Arabidopsis thaliana: one gene and its partners. The protein of the gene in region 1 interacts with the protein of each later gene in a pairwise test. Each region holds a gene or a part of one and is shown in the gene's direction. Other genes may lie near its edges.

Region 1 (6,235 bases):
GAACTTCTTAGTGGCCACTACACCAGTATTTTACTGGTACAAGTATTTTTCTAAGAATATTATAGATTCGTAAGATCTACAAAAAAATGTAGCGATTGAAGAAAAAAAAAACATGAACTCGATAGCTTAAAACACCGAAAAAAAACGAGTGGGCAACAAATTTTTGGTAATAAAAAAATAATCGAGTGGCGTAGAATAACAAACCATCCATATCCCTATCCTTCTCTCTATTACCTAAACACAACGACACGTGTCTGACTTTTGGAACATCTCAGAGGACAACACTTTTGTGCTGACTAGGCAATAAAGTGCAAAACAAAAGTGTTGTTTTTTTTCTCCTCTTTCATTTTGAGACAGTTGTACCAAACAATTTCTAATTTGGATAAATGGTTTTTTTTTTCATTGAAGACTTCCAGATATTTATTTTACAATTTTTGTCCTTCACATAAAATACCTATTTAATTTTGTTTTGAAGTTGACGGCTACTGAAATTTAAATATCTCTTTCTTCTTTTTAAACAACGCTCGTGTATGTTTTTATTTAGCTACTCGCTTTCTTTGCCACATACTTGGGTCAAAAGAGAGCACTCCAAAAATATATGATCTGTCATTTGAAACCTAACTATTCCTGATAAGTCTAGGTTCATAGTCTAAAGTTCTTGGCCCTCATTTAGGTATAAATAGTCTAAATTTAAAGTATTTAAGCAAAAACAATACTGAGAAGAAAAAAAAAAAAAAAAAAAAAACTACGGTAAAATTTCTAGAAATGTTTAAGAAAAATCTAACTAAAATCAAAAGAATAGCGTATTAAAATACTAATTTTATTGGATTAACTTAATTTGATGAAAATGTCTCTTAATATTTATGGCGATATGTATGTTGGTTGGACTTTGAAATTGTTTTTATAGATTTAATAAGATGAACATTTTGTTCTTGCTTGAGAGTGGCTGGGTACACAATTTTTTTCACTTTGTTCATGCTAAAATTCAGTTTTGTCTTCTTATATTTACATCTAAGTTTATGTTTGATTATCTGAAACCCAAATTATCAAGTATTTTACGATTTTTTGAAATAAACGAAATCTGTTTATTTCCTTATTCAAATTTTATAAAATTTTGTAAGAGTGATTTGATTGAAAATGGACAACATTTGGAGACATTTTCAAAAAAAAATGTTATAAAAGGTTATTTTAAAATGCTTTCAAAAATATCAATATAATAAAGAGCGTGATTATATTTTAATTCAGAATTATTTAAGTGATCGAAAATATCATAAATTTTGTATAATTAGAGCATTTGTTCTGATATGCGACATATTTTACTATAATTTTATAGGAACCATATAAATTTAATTTTTTAACTAATTCCAGTTGCACATTTGTTTAGATGAAAATGATTTGATTGCTGCATGATATAATTTATTTACATTTAAGCATATATTTTATTCTATTTTGATGAATTGTGTGGTATTTTCGTACTTAAATTTTGATATATTGTATGTAATTGTACAACATACTCAATCATATGTTATTACTTCTAATAATTTGAATATGGACATACTCAGAAAGGTATCAAGGGCTCTTTCTCTAGCTATTGTTTCTCATATAATCTTTTCAAAATCATATATCATCACCAACTATACTCATCATTCTCGGGTACTATGAGCTCTAACTAGTGGAATGGTACTAGAACTTTGACACACCGTCTAGTTGAGATTATAGAAATTAAAGATTATGTTATATATAGTAGAAACAAAGTAGGCCAAATTCTTATAGAAAAGAATAAACAAAATTAATATAAAAGATAAATGAAAAAACGGTCTTGAATTATAAACAATTTGCTAGGTGTGATTCAACATTGTCTTTATTCAATACTTGTTGGGTCATAAACATTCAAATTGCATATTATTGTTACTCTAGTATTCAAATTGCATATTATGTTTTATCTAAACTAACTTATATATTTATTTTGATAAACATGTCATATGATATTAAACTTATTTTCAATTGATCATCTTCTAAGTTGATGCATTTTAGTATTTTATATTCAAATTTTGAGATCTTAGTATGTAATATATTTTCAGGTTTTTACTATTCATCAGTTTGATGATGCAAATATACATAGTACGAATAAAATGAGTGAAATTGTTTAATTATATGATCAGGAAGAAAAAATAATATTCCAAAATCCAAATTTTAGTGGGTAATTCTTAGCACAAAAACAAATTTTGTTTCCAAATATATCACATATTTTTCAATGTTCCACAAATAGCATTAATTGTTGAAATTTGTTATGAATAAGAATATGTTCTATAACATTATATGAATTAGAATTATCAATAGATAAAGTGTGTCAACTCAAATCGCTAAATTGTTGAAAACAATTTAATAATATATTCATTTAATATATTCTCATGTCAATATGATATGATTAGATCTATTTAGTGAGATCTTATTTAATTGTTAATTCTAATAAAACAAAAATAGTGATTATATTACTAATAAATAATATAATTGTTTAATCTTATTTTATGGAACTGTATTTCTCAACTTCAATTAAATACTGTACCTAAACCTAAAATTAAATATGCAATCAACTTGATTAATAAAAAACAACAAAATGGGGTAAGAAGTAAACAACGTTGTTAAACAAGACACGCGCTCACCAGTCGCGAGTTTGGCAATAATCATGAAATGAGCTTCTTTAAAAAAACTTTCTAGTAGATAAATTAAACAATTAAAAATCTCCGACAAGATTTAACAAAGAACAGATAATATCTTCTCCGCAAAGACAAAAGTGAAAGCGAAGAAGAAATCCTCCACGTGTCATTAGCATCTTTTAACCTGAGCCACATGATACTAGTTTCTCGAAACCCCTCTTTACGCTTTTTCACCCAAATTTTTATAAAAAGAAAAACATTATGCTTACGTGGCTTATCTTCTTCTTGCTCTTTTAAAGTAACCCCTTGACTCTGCTCCTTTCATAAACAACAACTCTCTCACCAATCTCAAAACAATTCTCTCTCTCTTTATTCTTCTTCTTCAGCTTCAGATTTCAGATCTTAAATCTTCAAGTCTTCTTCTTCTTCTTCTGCAACCATGGCTATGCAGGTTTGAGATCTATCTTCTTTGTTATTCTTTATGCAATCTTGATCTTGGTTTTGTTACTGTTGTTATGTTTCAAGTCTTGTGGAATCCAGACAGATTTAACCTAAACTTAGGTTTATGTCCGAGAGAAAATAGGTTATTTTGTTATCTAATTTCAAGTTTAATCTCTTTGTCTGAGAGAACTTGGAACTGAAGATTATTCGATTGTGGCAGGTTAAAAATTGTGTTAATAGACCAGGCGATTATGTGGGATATTATGGTCGGTTGTTTTAAAGAGAGATTACTTCTTTCTTAATGTATTGATCCGTATTAGGTAAGAACATGTCTCTAATCCCCTAATTATTACTGGTGGTCTACCTCTTCTAGTTGCGTATTAATTAGTTTTATTAGACTCTTTGTAACATTTAATTACTCTTACAATATATTAAGAGACTAATTGTGTTTTCTTACTTTGTGATTATAGGAACGTTGTGAGAGTTTATGTTCTGATGAACTTATATCTTCCTCAGATGCCTTTTACCTCAAGGTACTAATTTTGTTTCTTAATCTCTTGTTTACTCTTGATTGGTTTTGAACTTAAATATGAGGTTAATTTAGGGTTTGTTTTGTTTATAGACAAGAAAGCCTTATACCATCACTAAACAAAGAGAGAAATGGACAGAAGCAGAGCATGAGAAGTTTGTAGAAGCATTGAAACTCTATGGCAGAGCTTGGAGACGAATCGAAGGTGTGTGTGCTTATCTGACTTTAGAGAGTCTAATGCACATTCTAATCTAAGTTTGATGAAGATATAAGAAAACTACTTGGACCCTAGTAATGAGTAGAGATCTGACTTTTGTTGGTTCTTCTATGGAACAGAACATGTTGGAACAAAAACTGCAGTTCAGATTCGAAGCCATGCGCAGAAGTTCTTTACTAAGGTTTGCCTTCTTGCAGACCCTTATACATGAAAAAGTTTCAACCTCTTCGTGTTAAGCAAGGTCTAATTCAAGTTTTTCTTATTAGGTTGCTCGCGATTTTGGTGTTAGCTCTGAGTCCATTGAGATCCCGCCTCCAAGGCCAAAGAGAAAGCCGATGCATCCTTACCCTAGAAAGCTTGTGATTCCTGATGCAAAAGAGATGGTATACGCTGAACTAACCGGATCCAAGCTGATTCAGGATGAAGATAACCGATCTCCAACATCGGTTTTATCAGCTCATGGCTCAGATGGATTAGGTTCCATTGGTTCAAATTCACCTAACTCTTCTTCAGCTGAGTTATCATCTCACACAGAGGAATCATTGTCTCTAGAAGCAGAGACCAAACAGAGCCTTAAGCTCTTTGGAAAAACTTTTGTAGTTGGTGATTACAACTCTTCAATGAGTTGTGATGATTCTGAAGATGGCAAGAAGAAGCTATACTCAGAAACACAGTCTCTTCAATGTTCTTCTTCTACTTCAGAAAACGCTGAAACAGAAGTGGTAGTGTCGGAGTTCAAAAGAAGTGAGAGATCAGCTTTCTCTCAGTTAAAATCGTCGGTGACTGAGATGAACAACATGAGAGGGTTCATGCCTTACAAAAAGAGAGTAAAGGTGGAAGAAAACATTGACAATGTAAAATTATCATATCCTTTGTGGTGAAGTGTTCGTTTGTGTCAAGTCAGTTGTGTAAACTCTTTTGATCTCAACATCAGATTATGTGTATAATGTCAGAGTATTAGGGAAAGTTTTTTTGGATTAGATTCGTAAGATCACTCCAAAGTTTCGTGTCTTTCCATATAACCAGTTAGAAATTGAGATCCTTGTACTTAAACATTTTTATTTGATCAATCAAATCTTCTTGATAACTCTAAATTGTTGTACATAATAGTAGTCTCTATCAAGCATTTCATTCGAAAGGATTAACAAAAAAGATTAGGTTTACAAAAAATACATCAAAAGCAAATGTTTGAAACATAGAAACAAGTAATGCATCATAAACCCTAAGACTAGCTTCAAGTCTCTGTGACGGTTTCACTCTGTTTCAAGATCTTCCTCGTACGGTACTCGTCGACACAAAGGACACGACCTCTGACGCTTAAGCCACTCAAAGATACAATTTTGATGGAACAAATGGAAACAGTCAGGTAACAGAATGATGTTATCATCATGACTCTCCGAAAAGTCCTCCAAACAAATCGAACAAGTGGTTTCTTCTTCATCTCCCAAATCAGTCAATTCCATTGTTTGTTCCTCAAGCAATCTTTGAAACGTATCTGTCGACCTAACAGCAATAGACGAGAACATAACATCTCTTGTCACTTCCACGTATAAGGACACACTAAAAGGTTGGGGAATATGAGCACAATCCAAAACGATCCTTTCGCTCAACAATCGACAAAACTCAGTATGTGTGATGAACTCGTCAAGGTCTTGATAGATGTGATGTGAACTGAGACATGATGGTTTCAATTCGATTTTAGTCATAAGTGGAGCCGCGAACGTTCCCAAACACATTACGACACCGTTTTGATCTTCAGCTAACTCGTTGACCACATCTTGTAGATTGACGAACACGGTGTTTCTAAACCCTTGATCTTGTGGTAGGATCATTGCTGTTGTAGTAATCTTTACGGACACCAAATTACTATATGTATTCATGGTGGAAGAAGAAGAAGAAAAAGAAGATTCAAAGCCTAACTTTTGATATGAAGAGATAAGATTGTGAAATCAAAGAGAAGAGATCGATGAAATTGACTTAAAGTGAGGCTGAGTGAATTAATATATATATAGAGAGATATTTTACGTTTCGACGCTTCAGTTGGAAAAAAGGAAATCATAAACAAATTTGTTGACGAAAAAGGAAATTAAGGAAAGGAAAACTTTGACCAAAAAAGAAAAGAAAAGGAAAACATGAATTTAGTAAAAATAAAAATAAAAAGGAAACAATCAGTTTTTTGATAAAAAGGAAATTTAGATTAACAAAACGCGTCAAATTTTTTATTTAATTTTAATTAACTAAAGTCAGATAACAAATCAGACCGTTCCACATTATTTCGCAACATTACTTATACTAGATGAATTTCCATTACGCTTGGATTTGTTTTAAAAATTGTTAATAAAAATATGTTAATTGTTTTTATCGCTAATTTATATTTATTTTTTATTTATT
Region 2 (5,993 bases), 4.4 Mb from region 1:
GCGAGTAAAGGTGTGAATAGAAAAGAGAAAAATATTTACGCTATTCTTCTAATTTTTATGCATGATTGCTCTGATTCGTAATTTTTTTTGGCAAAAACATAGTAATATTTTAAAAAAAACTAACAATGTGTACCAATCACTGCCTACATAATTTGTGTCGTCATTTTCCCTTTTATGATATTTTATCCTCTGTATTTGTCTTGTCTGAAATATGCGATCGTCCGTGTAAATGTTGCTAATTCCGTAAATCGTGTTTTTGCTAAAACTTGCCTTTAACTTGATACTTAATTTCTGCACAATAATATGTGATAGAAAATATATTATAATGCTCATTATAGTATAAATTTTTTTTTGAAGAGATATGAACAAAAACATTGGTCAAAAATCACAGTTGTAAGATTAGGTGAGTGCTTTTGTTGGTTGGAAGAAACTTTTTTTTAAAGCAAACTATAGGCGAGTATTTTTTTTTTCCGGGTTAAAACTCTATATATTATTCTATGGATAAGCGCTCTCGTTTAAAGAGAGCCAATCGAGAACCGTTGAACTTACATGGGAAAAATAGAATCCGCGAGTTCTTGCACATTTCGCAAGATAATCTGCTCGGATATTACTAGTACGGGGAACATGCATAATATTAAAAGATACAAGTTGATTCTTAAAATACTCGAAATCTTTTAACTCTGATGCAAAAATGGGCCACTCCTCCGGCGTATTAACCATAGTGAGAAGATCAGAGCAATCCGTCTTAACAAGGACTTCCTTGATTGATAAGTCTACTAAGCACTTTAAAGCCCAAACTAATGTGTCTAGTTCTGCATGAAGCGGTGATAAACAACGACGTGAACCCTTCAATCCTAAATGAAGCAATCTTTCCCCACGGGTCAAAATCCACCCATGACCGCTCCGCGAATCAGTTATATGCCAAGACCCATCAATGAAGCAGATTGGGGAAGCCATATCTATATGTTGCCCTTCCAAACTTGGCTTGGTACCTTCTGGTTGCTCTTCTCTCCTATTGGCTCGCCTCCATACTTCTTCCTCATGTATTGCTAAGTCTAAAGTGTCTTGAGGTTGCACGCAAATACTTTCGAAATTTTTTCGGTTTCGCGCTTTCCAAATATACCACATTATCCATGGAAAGACCCGTAAGCTCTCCTCACAAGCTCCAATCTCATTCGCTCTCCAATACAGATAATCGAGATTATTGTATATAGAAGACGAAAGAAACCTAGATGGAGAGGAGGGAATACCGGATAGCGCCCAGACTTGTCTTGCCGGGGGACATTCAAATATTAAATGATTGATGGTTTCTTCATCCGCCCCACATCTAGGACATTTTTTATCTCTACCAATATGGCGAAAATATAGGCGTTGACAAGTTGCTAAACACTCTGACACACATTGCTACACAAAATGCTTTAGCTTTCGTGTAGTTTTTAATTTCCACGCTTGCGCCTTTAGTGCCGTAACACTAGGTCCCTGAAGAGGGTGGTCGCAAGACGGGCGAGAGAGGGCTCTCGCAGCTTCATATCTTGTCTTGACAGTATAATTACCGAACTTAGTCAATGTCCAACTATATCCATCTCGCGAGACATTTAGCCTCGGTTTTATCCCTAAAATCAAAGTAATATCCTCGGGGGGGGGGGGGGGGGAACAACTCCCGTAGACGATCTACTTTCCACCTCTTCGTCTGGAAGTCAATCAAGGTGTTAACGTAGACCAAAGGGTTCCTATCCATAATTAAACCTTTCGGTGGTCTTGGAGGAGTATCTGGGATCCATGGATAATAGGCGACTATATGTTCTAGGAGGTTGCACAAAGAAAAAGTTTGTTCTAGCATAATATGAGAATAGATGATTTACGTCTTAAAATTAAACTATCACCGACTAATAATAAGCATAATAAGATGTGACTAAAACAACTAAGATTAAATGATGATCATCATGACATTTGAAAATTATATAAACCCAAATCATAAAGAAACAAGAAACAATATGAAAACAATATATTCCTAAGATACAGCAAAAGTGGATGTATGTGAAACGTCCAAAGAGATAATTTGAGGATTAGCTGCGGAGTTCAAACATAAAAACGAAAGTTCAACTACTACTTTCATATTTAATTAATCAAAGTATTTAATTGCAAAACGGAACTTAACCTGATTGGATCCATAAGTATATTATCATTATTCTTTTACCAAAGAAATAAATAAATTCGTTTTTAATCATATTTAGAGCTATTCATGTTCTTGTAATCAATTAAAAGTTTCATTTGTTTACAAACATAACATCATATATACACTCAAAAACAGCAAAATTGAAATAACCATCTGACCAGAATGATGTGTTTGAACCAAAACTACTCTTGGAATCGAATATAGATTAAAAATATATAGTAAACTAATTTTTAGAGAGTTTGAGTGACTATTGACTAAACTATGCTTCCGTGAAGGAGGTCCCTTTTGCAAGTGGACATACGTGAGAGACCCACCATTAATTTGTCTTTGAGCCTTATTGTTGTTATTGACTTTTAGCCAATAGAAAGAGATGGAAATTCAATAATTATCCACAAAATTCCAAATCATTGGTGTACAAAAAGATCTAAGGCTGTTATATTTTCAAAAAAGAAAGAAAAGAAATGCAACAAATATGGATTAAACTGTGGTTTGTAAATTGAGCTTTGCATGAAAACTTTATCACTATGATTTCACTACTCCATATTTATTGACTAAAGTGGCACTAATGAATTTCTTAATCATGAAATCTTGTATCAAAAAGTACTAAAATAAACATGACATTGGCAATTAGGAAAATTCTAAATTAGAAATTAGTAAAAATGAAAGGTGAAAGGGAAAGATGATGATATGAATTGGTTGGTGACCAGGAGAAATGTATCCCGATTTTTGCAGACACTTTCAGTGTCCCCATTCATATAATTATGGCCCACCTCGTTAAGATTTTTCATTCACCACCATAACAAGATCTAAGCTTAGATTTCATGTAATTAAACATATAATATACTTGCCAATACTATCTAATAAAGTATACTTAAGCAAAAATTATTACTCTAGTGTAAGGCGATGAAATATAAGTTTAGTTGAAAATTTATGTCGATATAACAAAGTATAATGAATTAAGACCTTGGTTTTCGATTAACAAACTAATTAAACACTAGTTTTGCCTAATAAAACCGGGAATCGTATTCAAAACCGAACGACAAAACAAGGGACAAGTTGAGAGACAAAACCAAATCAGCATCTTTCTTCCAGAAATGTCATGACCACATGACGTCATCTTGACCCTTCTTCATTGTGATATCTGTGGATAAAGCGCACGTGTTTAATTCACGAACCTTCGTAGTAACGAAAAATCCACAACTTTCATATTTTTTAATTACCCACTAAACTAAAACAAATTTGGAAAAACATGAAAAACTTTTTCTTTTTTTCCAGGTTCGTGAACCTCGTACCCTCTATATAAACCTCTTAACCACCTTCCACATAGAAAAAAGTTCAGATATTTGATAAATCAATCAACAAAACAAAAAAAACTCTATAGTTAGTTTCTCTGAAAATGTACGGACAGTGCAATATAGAATCCGACTACGCTTTGTTGGAGTCGATAACACGTCACTTGCTAGGAGGAGGAGGAGAGAACGAGCTGCGACTCAATGAGTCAACACCGAGTTCGTGTTTCACAGAGAGTTGGGGAGGTTTGCCATTGAAAGAGAATGATTCAGAGGACATGTTGGTGTACGGACTCCTCAAAGATGCCTTCCATTTTGACACGTCATCATCGGACTTGAGCTGTCTTTTTGATTTTCCGGCGGTTAAAGTCGAGCCAACTGAGAACTTTACGGCGATGGAGGAGAAACCAAAGAAAGCGATACCGGTTACGGAGACGGCAGTGAAGGCGAAGCATTACAGAGGAGTGAGGCAGAGACCGTGGGGGAAATTCGCGGCGGAGATACGTGATCCGGCGAAGAATGGAGCTAGGGTTTGGTTAGGGACGTTTGAGACGGCGGAAGATGCGGCTTTAGCTTACGATATAGCTGCTTTTAGGATGCGTGGTTCCCGCGCTTTATTGAATTTTCCGTTGAGGGTTAATTCCGGTGAACCTGACCCGGTTCGGATCACGTCTAAGAGATCTTCTTCGTCGTCGTCGTCGTCGTCCTCTTCTACGTCGTCGTCTGAAAACGGGAAGTTGAAACGAAGGAGAAAAGCAGAGAATCTGACGTCGGAGGTGGTGCAGGTGAAGTGTGAGGTTGGTGATGAGACACGTGTTGATGAGTTATTGGTTTCATAAGTTTGATCTTGTGTGTTTTGTAGTTGAATAGTTTTGCTATAAATGTTGAGGCACCAAGTAAAAGTGTTCCCGTGATGTAAATTAGTTACTAAACAGAGCCATATATCTTCAATCCATAAACAAAATAGACACTTTAATAAAGCCGTGAGTGTTAATTTTTCAATCTAGTTTCATTTCTTACATGACATTCACGGCTTTATTAAAGTATTACACCATATCCCCTAATACAATCTCTTAACTCAATTTGAGTTCTATATTGCTAAGTAGCCAAAACTTGATCGAAGAGGTAACAATTACTAAAACCAAAATCCATCAACAGTAGCGCGACAATAAATAATAACCTATCTATTTTAGATTTTTTTTTGTTGTAAATGTTGTGAGCTTAAGTGTGTAATCACTTGTAAATGTTTCTGTTTGATACTCTTGAGAAGATGAAGCTGTCTAAGGTCGACAAGCAAAGGCTCTGCTAGAGAAAATTCATTTAAGCAATCAATTTATATCTTTGATTTTTGAAGCACATAAAACTTTGAACCCAATAAAGGTTTAGAATGAGAAAAACCGTGTCTCGCCTAGAGGATTCAGTATTGAAACCCAGTTATTCTCTTAATGGACTAAGAACGAATATTCTTTTCATTAATGGGCTTTAACCAACGAGAGCTGATATTTATTATTGTTAATGGGCTTAACCAGTTTGTAGCCCACGGATAGATAAAGAGAGGACCAGAACACAGTTAAATAGCACCCGCCGCAGAGAATAATAACTCAGGAAGGGTTTATAGATTAGGTTTTTAAGTCGCACCTCTCTCTCTCACTGCCGCATCTTTTCTTAGGGTTCTTGTTTCGCTATCTCTTAAACACAAACAGCTCTGTCCGAATAATCTCTCTTCAAGTACCTCTTTTTTCTGATTCTGTATATCGCCATGAATTACTGATTTCCCTCTCTATAAACCCATCAAAGTAAACCAATTTCTCCTGTGACTTGTACCTAACTCGATCTTACCAGACTGGTGATGGCGTCTTTGAACCCTTTCGATCTTCTAGGAGATGATGCTGAGGATCCAAGCCAGCTCGCTGTGGCTTTGTCTCAGAAAGTCGAGAAAGCTGCTGCTGCTGTTCAGCCTCCTAAGGCCGCTAAGTTCCCAACCAAGCCGGCTCCTCCTTCTCAAGCAGGTAAAAGTTCTTTCCTTTATGTTGATACTTAACAGATTTAGATTCAGCTGTGTTTTGTCTAGTGTTTGATTGATTAGTTCTAGTGAAGTTTGTTTATGGTTGTCATGAAAGATCCATAGTCAAATGTGTGTGCTTTTTTCATTTGCTGCTTTGTTAGTTTCTTCCGTATCTTATTTTGTTTCTCTACTGCTTTGTTAGATTAGGGTAAAGCTTAATACTTTGTTAGATTAGGATAAGTATATATATTGAAAGCTTTTTGTTATGAATGTAGTGAGGGAGTCGAGGAATGCTCCTCAAGGAGGTCGTGGTGGGACTGGTGGACGTGGTGGATTTTCCCGTGGCAGGGGTAATGGTGGATACAACCGGGACAACAGGAACAATGATGCTCCTGGAAATGAGAATGGATTTTCTGGAGGATACAGGAGACCTTCTGAAGATGCTGATGGAGCAAGCCGTGGTGGGTCTGTTGGTGGATACCGTGTTGGCGGTGGTCGTGAAGGACCTCGCCGTGGTGGAGTT
Region 3 (6,152 bases), on another chromosome or scaffold:
TTCCAATGCATACCACTTCATGTTCGTAGATTTATTCAGAAAACGTGTAGGGTATCAGGATAATGAGAGAAACATTAATCAAATCTCACGTGAAGGGATGCAGAGTTAGTAAATGAGATATACAAGTACGATTGCGGACCACACATACACTTATACATGTTACTCGGTCAATGTCATTAATATTTAATTTGAATAAGAAAATACCAACTACATAAATGATTAGTGGTAATAGTATATACAATTATGGGAAGGAAGAATTTGGTAGTAGATACGATGGACCAATAAGGGAAAATCTCATACCGTATCTCCATTAATGACACCTTCTTGTTTAATCTATAAAATTTGGCTTCGATAATTAAACAGAATCTTAAGAACTCTTTTCGATATCTCTTACCTTATCTAACTATAACTTGAAAGAAGAGAATGAGGAAGCTCACGACAAGGTTCATGTTGGCATTGGAACATGTGCAGGCGACGTTTTTTGTGCGGTACACGGCTGATGTACGGTTTAACGTATTCCTTTGTATATGAGTATCATGTTGACAACAAATAAAACGACAAAGGAAATGAACTTTACTTCAACATAAATCTTTTAGACATGTTAAACTAGCTTATATCAAACAATGAATAGTAACGATAGGCTCTCAAAACTCTAATCGATCTATCCTGTCGTTTTCGATTTACGTAAGAATCTTATTAGTATCTTTTTGAATATCCAAAATAACTGATTTTTGTATATAAAAAGTAGTAATAATATTGGCATACAGGCTGGCTTCTTTAGTCAGAAAAGTCTCTGAAGAATCCAACAAAAAACCTAAACCACTTTTAACGTCATCCTTATCTTCGTTTTATTTTTCTTTTAATCAGAAAATCAAAAACAAAAACAGAAGAAACTGGAATCACTCAATAAGTATGGATACTTTACTTATACGTTTCTAATATGTATAGATACGTCAATTCAATACGCAAAATACAATTTCGAAAAAAGCGACGTTTGTGTTTCAGTGCTTTTAAATTGAAAACAAAATGTGTTTTCACACAACAAAATAAAAAATAAAAATATTCTTAAATTTGTTGTGAAACCAATACAAAATACAACGTTCAAAAAAGAAAAACTAAAACGACACACGACATATATGATTTTATAATTAAAGTCGAAGGAAAACGTAATTTTTTCTAAATCTAATGAAAATACCAACAAAAGTTTTTAAACTTAAATCGAAAGAGACCGAACCCAACAACTAAAATCATAAGCAACTAAACACAAACCCTTTAAAAAACATTAGTCTTCAGAATCAATAAATCCTTTATTTTGAAATAACTACGGATAAAATTTATTAAGTATATGCGATCAAACCAAAGATAACATTAATTACTTTCTATCGATATAAGAAACAGTCCCGTCTCAAGCTATAATTGAGCCTTTGCCAAAATAAAAATAAAAACTAAAATCTCTTAATAAAATTTTGTTTTAAGAAAATTGGGCCTTTTATGCTTATGATTGTTTTTAAAATCAGTAATAGATCCATGGCATTTGCCTAATTTGCCATGGGGTAAAGACGGTCTTGATAAGAGTCAATCTTTCACAACCTAAACTAAAGATTTTATAATCCGACAAATAAAACGACCGAAAAAACTTAAATACGTTTTTAGATACGACAACGATAATTAATGTGCATCTAATTACGTTTAAATAGAAATCTTCAAAAATTCGACCATACCAACACTGATATGCAAAGGAAAAACAAAGAATGTAACCTTCAAAATGCAAAAAGAAAAGATAATTAAAAAAGGAAATAACTTAAAAACGAAATGATTTAAATTAAATAAAAAAACGATCCACCTGTGAAACGCTCTCAAGTACCACAAAATGTACTCTCTCTATCACACACAGTTACATATTTCGTTGACAGCTGTCCCCACTAACAGCTGTTTCCCAAATCCCCAACCGTTTTCTTGGAAAGATTCTCTCTTTATTTTAGCCTCACTCTCTCAGACGCATTTCCCCCAATCGCACCGCCACTCCCTGACGTGCTTTTTTCTTTCTCTTTTAAATATTCAAATACGTATCAGACTACTCACGTTACATCTTCTTCATAACTAATCCAATTTAGAAATTACGCAAAATTACTTAAATATGTAGTTTTTCTAAATAGTTTTACATAACTACAATATATAAGAATTTTTAATTTGAATTTATTTTTTGAAAAAGGTTTGCATTTATAATTTGATGTAATATGATTTGATTTTAGTTTAATATCTTTGTTTAGTTATAGTTAGAAATACAGTACATGTTTAGTTATAATTTAACATTCATTAAAAAAACATTACATAATAATTTGTTTAATAGTATATATTTTAATAAATTTTAGTTTAGAGTTTATTTTGTTTGGTTCAAACTAAATTTCAGTTTTCTGGATTTTAAAATAATAAAACAAAACGGCATATACTTACATATTTAATTTGGTGTCAGTTAACTTATTTCAATTTGATTCAGTTGAAAACATAATTATGCACGTAAATAATCCAATTTACAGTTACGAAAAAATTAAGTTGTTGTTAACTAACGATAAAAAATTACCGGTAGAACCGGTGACCTCTCTAACCATCACACCTCGTATAAATACTCTCTCCTCTTCATACTTATCCTCTCAACAAAAATCGTTTCGTTCTTTTCCAAAATCCCCAAACAATAGAAACGCGTTTTAAACGATTTGATTAGTTTTAAATTAAAAAGAAGATCCGAGCGATGTCTGGTTCGACCCGGAAAGAAATGGATCGGATCAAAGGACCATGGAGTCCTGAAGAAGACGATCTGTTACAATCGTTGGTTCAGAAGCACGGACCAAGGAACTGGTCTCTGATAAGCAAATCAATCCCTGGACGTTCCGGTAAATCTTGCCGTCTCCGTTGGTGTAATCAGCTTTCTCCGGAGGTAGAGCACCGTGGATTCACGGCGGAGGAAGATGATACGATTATACTAGCGCACGCTCGGTTTGGTAACAAGTGGGCGACGATTGCACGGCTTCTCAATGGTCGCACTGATAACGCGATTAAGAATCACTGGAACTCAACGCTGAAGCGGAAATGTAGCGGCGGAGGCGGCGGAGGAGAGGAAGGGCAGAGTTGTGATTTCGGTGGTAATGGAGGGTATGATGGTAATTTAACTGATGAAAAACCGTTAAAACGGAGGGCGAGTGGTGGAGGAGGAGTTGTTGTGGTGACGGCGTTAAGTCCAACGGGATCTGACGTCAGCGAGCAATCGCAATCTAGTGGATCTGTTTTACCGGTTTCTTCTTCTTGTCATGTTTTTAAACCGACGGCGAGAGCTGGTGGAGTGGTGATTGAGTCATCATCGCCGGAGGAGGAGGAGAAAGATCCGATGACTTGTTTGAGGTTGTCTTTGCCTTGGGTCAATGAGTCAACAACTCCACCGGAGTTGTTTCCGGTGAAGAGAGAAGAAGAAGAAGAGAAGGAAAGAGAGATTTCTGGACTTGGTGGAGATTTTATGACGGTGGTGCAGGAGATGATTAAGACGGAGGTTAGGAGTTACATGGCGGATTTACAGCTAGGAAACGGCGGAGGAGCTGGAGGAGGAGCAAGTTCGTGTATGGTGCAAGGAACTAATGGTCGTAATGTAGGGTTTAGAGAGTTTATTGGATTAGGTAGGATCGAGTAGTGAGTGAGAAAAGAGAAGAATTGTGTAGCAAATGCAGAGAAAGAGCCAATTTCATGATTTGAGATTTGATTCATTCGAAAAAAAAACTGAATAAATGTATTGATTTTGATCATGACATGTCTTAGATTTAATGAAATTGGTCTATAAAAGGGTTGATGAGGCTGGTCCTCGAGGTGAATCAATGTTACCTTTTGATAAAGTGAAAGAAGAGCATGAACAAAGTCATTTCCATACAAAGAGGAGTTTACAGCATTCTTGATCTCTCTAGACTGGTCTTGCGATTCGAAGAGTGAAGTAATGAATTCTACTGAACCAAGTGACGATTTCCGTAGTTTGTTACCTTCGGTTACCGACTATAGCATCGCAGTAAAGGTTATAGTGTGAGAGACAACATCATATATAGATATTCAATGAATGATACAGAGTGTAGAACAGATCACCTCAATACAACTAACTGTAGCAGTAAGGCCTCTACCGGGGAAATACTCAAAGCACAAGGGAGGTCCTTCCCAATACTGTGGCTCTGCAAAAAAGAAAGAGTTTGATTGTGTTAATAACTATCAAGCGGTGTAAGATTACTGATGTTTGACAAGCAAATACCTTCCAATAGGATGTATGGTACCTTTCTCCATAGCAGCTGCTACAACTAATGCTTCCTTTTCACAATTTGGCATACAATACAACAAGGAGTCACACTTGCATCAATTCCTGCTTGATGATGTCCATAAATGGGTTCAATTGCTTTGCACGTAAGGCTCCTAATGTTTACCTATATAATGGAGAAGAAATATGCACTAGATATGTGTATAACTTGTTGTCCAAGCCAAATTTCCACAGCTCCATCCGGAACAACATCCTTCAGAAACTATCTAAAGAATTGGTTAACTTCAATTTCCACGGAAATCGCGATTTCTTGGTTAAAGTTGAAGTGGATGTAGCTGTTAAAGAGGTAAGCTTAGGTGATTATCACTCAGAAGAAGGTTAAAGTTAAGTCGCTTCTTTTTGCTTTGTGGATTTGGAGCTTAACTATGTTGTTATTGAAACTCATTAAAAACATGAATATCCAGTTATTCATTCACATAATCAGAATAATAAATTAATTACAATATATATTACATTGTACATTATTATCAAATGAATTTCAATAAGTTAACAAAAGAATATTCCTACAGAGAACAAATGAGGTTCTTCCAATTCTTGATTTTCCCAAGTTCTAAGCATAAAAAGAAAAATCTGAATAATTAATCTGAAAAAAAACTAAACAAAGCAATCAATTTCCGGAGCTAGACCAAAGCAGCCACATTAACTGGTTCGGTCGGGAACTTAGTGACCGGGTCCACTCGTGCTGGGACCTGAATGCTTACCATATTCAAGCGTCTCAGTCCGGTCCACGAACCGATGACCCTCACCACCAGAGCTAGGACCCGACTCCTTAATCGCCCCAAGTGACAAACCATCGAAGAACTTAGCCACGAGGTTCTCTTCAGCCTTCGTTAAACCCAAAGGACGAGCCTCCACCACAAAATTCGAACTCACCAACATGAAAAACAGAAACGAACCCAAAACAACTTTGTTCATCATCATTTTCTTTGAGTGGTATTTTTGAGTAGTAAAAACAAAAATGTTTTTTATTTTATTTTTCTTGTGTTCCCTAATTTATGAGATGACTAAATTTGTTGTGAGTAGTTTGTGGACTTGGGAGTTAGAATATATAGTAAAGTGAAGAGCCTTGAAGAAGAAGAAAAGTTTGACATTTTCAGTTTTTGACTTCATAAGCTTAAAATTCAACAAGACGTGAGATTTGAATTTTAGGCTCCTTCCTGGGAAAATACTGAGGTTGCTTCTTGTTCTTGGTCTTCCAATTTCTTTTTAAAAATATAATTTGCGAACATATAAAGCCATCAACGAGGAATGGAGATTAGTTATTTGGCTGAAGAAATTAAATGATTTTAATTTTGTCTCTGATTGTTTGGAATAGACTTTTAGTTGTAGACCATAAACTATGTGTGGAATTCAAATCTAGTATGGTATTTTATGTTTATCTATATAATATTGTGACAAAACCTAATGTCCTCACCTTCCTTCAAGTATACTATAATCACTGTAGATGACATTAACTCAAAAATGTTTTATGATAAGAGTTTTCTAAGGATTGATTACCACAAACATATATTTGATGATCTAAATAGTTACATAATTTTTCATAACCATTTTCACTACTTCGACCGTTAATTTGAAAGAATACTAAATTCACTACTTCTACCAAATTAACGGTCGAAGTAGTTTTTAGTTGAAAATTAAAATTGTTGGGTGGGCATCAAACTTGATTGATGTTACAAAATTTCAGGCCCCACCAATCTATCTATGTACTTTTCTTGTTTCTCACGTTGTTGTTATTTCCATTCAAAGTAGCCTTCTTTGAAATGTTCATGAGCGAAGTATCAGATTGTTGATATTTCAACCTTTGTGTGTG
Region 4 (5,731 bases), on another chromosome or scaffold:
GCAATGTGTTTGTACTCGTTGTAACACTCCACGATCAAGTTTACGTATTGAATCTCATATGTAATCTTGCTTGTAATAAACTATCCAGATTTGTGATGACAAGATGATAATAATAAACATTTTTACTTTTATTTTATACTAGTGTTTTTTTTTTCTCATACTCTAGGTCACTTTTACAAACATCAACAAGTGGAACTACATACATCTTATAAAATGCAGTATATCTTAAAGTAGTCCTCGTATAAAAACCCTTGCAAGTTGCAACTGTTGAAAATCTAATACAATATTTTAACGCATTTTCCCCCTTTTGACATAAATTCCATAAGTTTCATTTTCTTCAAATTGTAAATTACTGGAGTTTCTTAATCTCTTTTATAACGGATGTACTTATTTAAGAAAAATAGAAAATAAGCATTTGCACAAATTAAGAAAAAGATAAGCATAACCACAACTGAATTAAGAAGGAAGGTTTTGATCGGAGGAAGGTTTTAAAACCACAATTGAAGAAGCCAGCTTGAAAGACCGGGATTAATATATGAATTATGTAGATTTTTATTATTGTGTGATTTGATATTTTCAATTTTAATGTTCTGTTTCAAAGATGATTGACTATATTCCTCGGTTAATAAAGCCAATACATTACAATATATATGACGATATCTGAATGTATAACTCTCTGTAATGTAGATATATTTTTGGTTTCTATGGGGTCAGAGACAATTGCTGCTCTGTGGTTTTTACACACTTGGTTATTTATCGGATGTGTATAGTAGCTTAACATGCTTGATAATTCCATGTATGTGTTTAGAGTTTAGTTTTCATTATCAGATAGATATTAGTTACACTTTATATTGAGGTCCCTAAGTTAAACCATGCATATTCACTATCATTATTTCGGTAAAAGTTAATTATACTCAAGATGGTTTCTCAGTTTGGGGGAGTTGCAAGACTGTAGAAAGACCTTGATCTCCATTGCCTTCACTTCACCATGAGTGAGCTTAAAAGGTAACTTTCATTTTCAAAATGTGATCTTCTGTTATGTCTATGCGATCATTCTAAATGAAACATTAGTAACGTCACTGATATTTCAATACTCAAACTAAACAAACGGATAAAGAGAAAGTGAATTGACTAACAAACTGGTGTATATATGCTTTATATCCAAAGCCTTTTTTCGTTTTGTTTAAGTCGTTCTTATCTCCACTCTCTTTTTTATTTTCTTTGAAGGGCACAATATCACTATTGTATACGGCTTTTGTTGCTAAACTACTTTTTATAACCTATTCCCATGGTGGCAAGAATTTGTTAATGCAATTTCTGGAGAAATAAAGGTAATGTAGTCTCTAGCTGTAAGTAAGGAAATCACTTTAAGAAAATGCAGATACTATACAGGAAATTCGGCTACTCTTGAGAAAAGTCATCTACTTAGGCAAAAGATAAAGTGCAAAATTTAACGTTGATATCCGATATACATAGATAGGAACGAGTACAAATATGAGATTTGTTCTTTACAAAGCAATTTTACATGCACCACCAATACAATCAAAGAAAAATAGGTATCTGCCCAATGTTTTCTGGCGTTTACTTTAGCAAGCAAATCTTGCAATTCATCAAAATGTTTATGAGTTCTTGAAATCATTATAATAATATAAAATATCTAACTTATTTTCCAAATTTTGTCACTTAACATTTAACATTGCCACCACTTATTATAGTTAAAATTTACATTGTTGTAAAGAAATTTCAATAACAAAATATTTAAGAATATTATCCAAGTTTTATTTATTTATTTATATATTTTAATTATAAAACTCCAAATAAAATAAACATTTAAAATAATTAAAATACTATGGCATAGTATTAGAGTGAGTCGATTTCTAGTATAATCAATTATATACTTTTATTGTCAAAATATATAATTTACTCCTACAATGGTAATTTATTATTGTTATAATGTTTGGCATTCAAATTTGTTACCTTATGTGATTGTAAAGTAAAACATAAGATGTCGTCATGTGTCATGTTTAAATTGGATTAATATATTTAAAGATAACATAAACTAGTTTTTAACCTTATCTAAAAAGAGAGTTATACATTTATTTATTTAGATATTTTTAATATGACAATAAAAATTTGAAAATTCGGAGATAAAACATAATTTAATTATTTTTACATCAAAAGTCGGCAGTCTAAAAATTCAAAAGCAGGCGATTAAAAATAAATTATTGGACAACTTTTTTAATTTAGATATTTTTAATACTACAACAAAAAGTTGAAAATAATTTTAATAATGAATTATTATACAATTGTTTTTATTTAGATAATTTTAATCTTATACAAAATACTTGAAAAGGCGGCGATGACATAAAGTATTAAGGAACTAATTTAGTTGGATTCTTTGTAACATCCAAAAATAAAAACTTAGAAAGGGGAATCAATCTTAGAGATGTGTGAAATATATATATATATATATATATGTTTATCTCACAATAAAAACTTGAAGAGTCGGCGATCACAGTTAAAATATCAAACAACTATTACTTAATATGCAATAAGAACTTTGAAAGTCGGCGATCAAACTTAAATTTATATTTTTCAATTTTCTATATAATAAAAGGAAGTTGGACATAATATTTCATTAATGCATTATGAATTTTATATAAATCTTAAACACTTAATAATTATTTATTTTATTTTATAAGATTAGTTTGATTAATAAAAAAGGTTAAAAAGGATATTGACTATAGAAAATAATGGAAAAAATCCTTTAACCAATCATTGGTACCTATATTTGATAGGTTTGTAATAGGAAAGATATCCCCAAAATTTTTAATAACTTGACAGGCTGTAACAAATATAATAGCTAAATGATAATGTTATAGATAAAACTGTAATAATTATATACCTTTTATTGACAAAATCTGTAAATCTGTATCTAAGCCTTAAATGGTAATTTATAATTTATTTCTAATATATAAAATAGGAAATTATATTTACATTTAAAACTCTAAACAAATTTTGTATGTTTTTTTCTATAAATACAAAGACATATTATCTTTAATACAATCAATTCAATTTTTCTTTCTTCAAAACATCTAAAAAATGGTGAAAAAAACTCTTGGTCGTAGAAAGGTAGAGATAGTGAAAATGACTAAGGAATCAAACCTTCAAGTCACATTTTCCAAGAGAAAAGCTGGTCTTTTTAAGAAGGCTAGTGAATTTTGCACATTATGTGATGCAAAAATTGCGATGATCGTGTTTTCACCAGCTGGAAAAGTATTTTCTTTTGGTCATCCAAATGTTGATGTTCTGCTTGACCACTTTCGAGGGTGTGTTGTAGGACACAACAACACAAACCTTGATGAAAGCTACACAAAGCTTCATGTTCAAATGCTCAACAAATCCTACACTGAGGTAAATGTCAATTGTTGGCAATATCTAATATTTGTTTCTCTCTTATTTTTCGATTTTGATATTGAATATTATATAAATGTTTCACAATTCATGGATATTCTTAACAAATTCATTATTCGTGGATTTATTCGTAGGTGAAGGCGGAAGTAGAAAAAGAACAAAAGAATAAGCAGTCGCGGGCTCAAAATGAAAGAGAAAACGAAAACGCTGAGGAGTGGTGGAGTAAGTCTCCATTAGAACTCAACTTAAGTCAATCAACCTGTATGATACGTGTTCTTAAAGATTTGAAGAAGATAGTTGATGAAAAAGCAATTCAATTAATCCATCAAACAAACCCAAACTTCTATGTTGGAAGTTCTAGCAATGCTGCTGCTCCAGCAACTGTTAGTGGTGGTAATATCTCCACAAACCAGGGGTTCTTTGATCAAAACGGAATGACGACTAATCCTACTCAAACACTTCTGTTTGGATTTGATATTATGAATCGCACACCAGGAGTTTAAATAAGTCTATCCTCATTATGGGTCTTGGTACTATAAGTTCATCTCTCTCGTTGTTGACTTTTTAAGTCTCCAATAGTTTGTTGTGTCTTTTTTTTTTTTTTTTTTTTTTTTTTTTTAATTGTTGGTGTCGTATGTCTTTTAATTAAGTCTTGAGTCAATTGGCTTGTTGTTTCTTTTCGTTGTTCTTTGTGTCTTGTAGCTTTCGATGTTTTTTGGTGGAACATGAATAAAGCTATATGAAGTTTTATAATATTTTCATTACTGTGATCTTATATGTTTATTGTGTATATGGAACTATATATTTTTGAGGCATAGTTAATATTCTAGTAATTTCCCAAAGATCTATATAAGTCTAGTAATTTACAACTTTGATATGCTATATTAACTCAGCCAGCACAACCACAAAGCTATAGACATCACTCTTTGCTGTGAATTGGCTAGACTGAAAGTACTCAGGATCCATATATCCCATCGCGAAACTTTGGCTCGATATTTCTCATCTAACATGATGTTTGTAGACTTGACGTCTCTGTGATAGATTGGAGATGATTCAGCCGAGAGCAAGTATGAAAGAGCTCATGCAATATCCACTGCTATGCGGAGACGTACATCCCAAGTAATCATCGTGAAATCATCAGCTTATCGTGAAGATGCTCGAAAAGGTTGCCATTGGGAATAAACTCGTAGACGAGAAGAAGGACATTTGTCTCATTACGGAAACAACCTAAGATTTTCACGATTCTATGGTTAATCTGCGAAAGAATTACAACCTCATTGATGAACTCTTCTAGCTTGTCTGCGTCCACAACTTTGGGTTTCTTTACTGCTACAATTCTAGCATCGACAAGCATTCCCTTGTACACAGTACCTTGACCACCCTGACCAAGTATTCTATTTAGGCTGAAGTTTTCAGTGGCTTTCTCTAACTCACTCGAGCTGAACACTCTTGTCTTCTCGACATTGCCTTCTGTTGAAGTCAATTGTTGTTGCAACAATAAACCCCCAGTACGTTTGAAGAACTTTCTCTTTTGGTTTAGCCTCATTTGTTTTCTACTAAATTTTATAACCAATATACTCCACCAATGAAGATTAACAAGCCTAACCCTGCAAACCGGCAAAAACAAAATGATTAGATATATCTTGGAAATATAAATACTAAAAAATGAATAACTTCTATTTTATTTTATTTTGGTGTGTTGAATATTAACTTCTTTTATTGCTTGTGTAGATGGTAATATTAATTACTAATGGCTAATTAGGGGTGTTAATTTGTGTAAATTCTCATTTATTTAAATGCGAATTACTTTGATCCATACGGACCTATTTAGACCAATTTATAATTTAAGCAATATATATCACTACAAAAAAACGGCCTTTAACGTCATTTTATTTAGATGTTAACCTCGGTATTTATATGACCTAGTTATAATGACATCCGTATTTAATTGACAATTAATAACATCGGTATTTAACTGATTTTGAGATCTAAAAATAAGAAGAAAACTTTAAATACAATTACTGACCTTGGCATCCGACGTATGGGTTGCCGTTGTAACCGCTATTGCATGCACAACTTGCATATCTTAAATTCACATTATAATCACATACATGGATCAATAAATTCCTTCTTATTGTACTCTGTTAAATTCTGGCATCCCAAAGAGTCTATAAACGAAAGATCCGTAGTGTGAATAAACCATCCTAGCTCAACGTGAGAATATCGTAGAGCATGGATCTGTTGTGGACTGTATCTACCCAACATATCATACGGTTCGTCTGTTAAGAAAGCAAATTTGCACCCTTTAGTTGTTGTG

The links.
Region 2: the proteins of RVE2 (region 1) and ERF2 interact in a two-hybrid assay, tested with the Arabidopsis thaliana proteins (one large-scale study listed by BioGRID).
Region 3: the proteins of RVE2 (region 1) and MYB70 interact in a two-hybrid assay, tested with the Arabidopsis thaliana proteins (one large-scale study listed by BioGRID).
Region 4: the proteins of RVE2 (region 1) and AGL23 interact in a two-hybrid assay, tested with the Arabidopsis thaliana proteins (one large-scale study listed by BioGRID).

Annotation. Positions count from the first base shown.
Region 1 is NC_003076.8:14,749,834-14,756,068, reverse strand, and holds RVE2 (Homeodomain-like superfamily protein), read left to right. Parts: upstream 1-2,980; 5' UTR 2,981-3,096; coding exon 3,097-3,108; intron 3,109-3,568; coding exon 3,569-3,631; intron 3,632-3,720; coding exon 3,721-3,832; intron 3,833-3,963; coding exon 3,964-4,025; intron 4,026-4,110; coding exon 4,111-4,725; downstream 4,726-6,235. Other genes in the region: AT5G37250 (RING/U-box superfamily protein), read right to left, coding at 5,098-5,724. UniProt on the Arabidopsis thaliana protein: Positive regulator for cold-responsive gene expression and cold tolerance. Part of a regulatory feedback loop that controls a subset of the circadian outputs and modulates the central oscillator. Negatively self-regulates its own expression.
Region 2 is NC_003076.8:19,170,334-19,176,326, reverse strand, and holds ERF2 (ethylene responsive element binding factor 2), read left to right. Parts: upstream 1-3,370; 5' UTR 3,371-3,572; coding exon 3,573-4,304; 3' UTR 4,305-4,684; downstream 4,685-5,993. Other genes in the region: AT5G47210 (Hyaluronan / mRNA binding family), read left to right, coding at 5,315-5,474, 5,746-5,993.
Region 3 is NC_003071.7:9,902,422-9,908,573, reverse strand, and holds MYB70 (myb domain protein 70), read left to right. Parts: upstream 1-2,541; 5' UTR 2,542-2,749; coding exon 2,750-3,679; 3' UTR 3,680-4,068; downstream 4,069-6,152. Other genes in the region: AT2G23270 (uncharacterized protein), read right to left, coding at 5,003-5,263.
Region 4 is NC_003070.9:24,278,235-24,283,965, forward strand, and holds AGL23 (AGAMOUS-like 23), read left to right. Parts: upstream 1-3,102; coding exon 3,103-3,414; intron 3,415-3,548; coding exon 3,549-3,917; 3' UTR 3,918-3,999; downstream 4,000-5,731. Other genes in the region: AT1G65352 (Putative membrane lipoprotein), read left to right, coding at 1-64. UniProt on the Arabidopsis thaliana protein: Probable transcription factor that controls female gametophyte (megagametogenesis) development and chloroplast biogenesis during embryo development.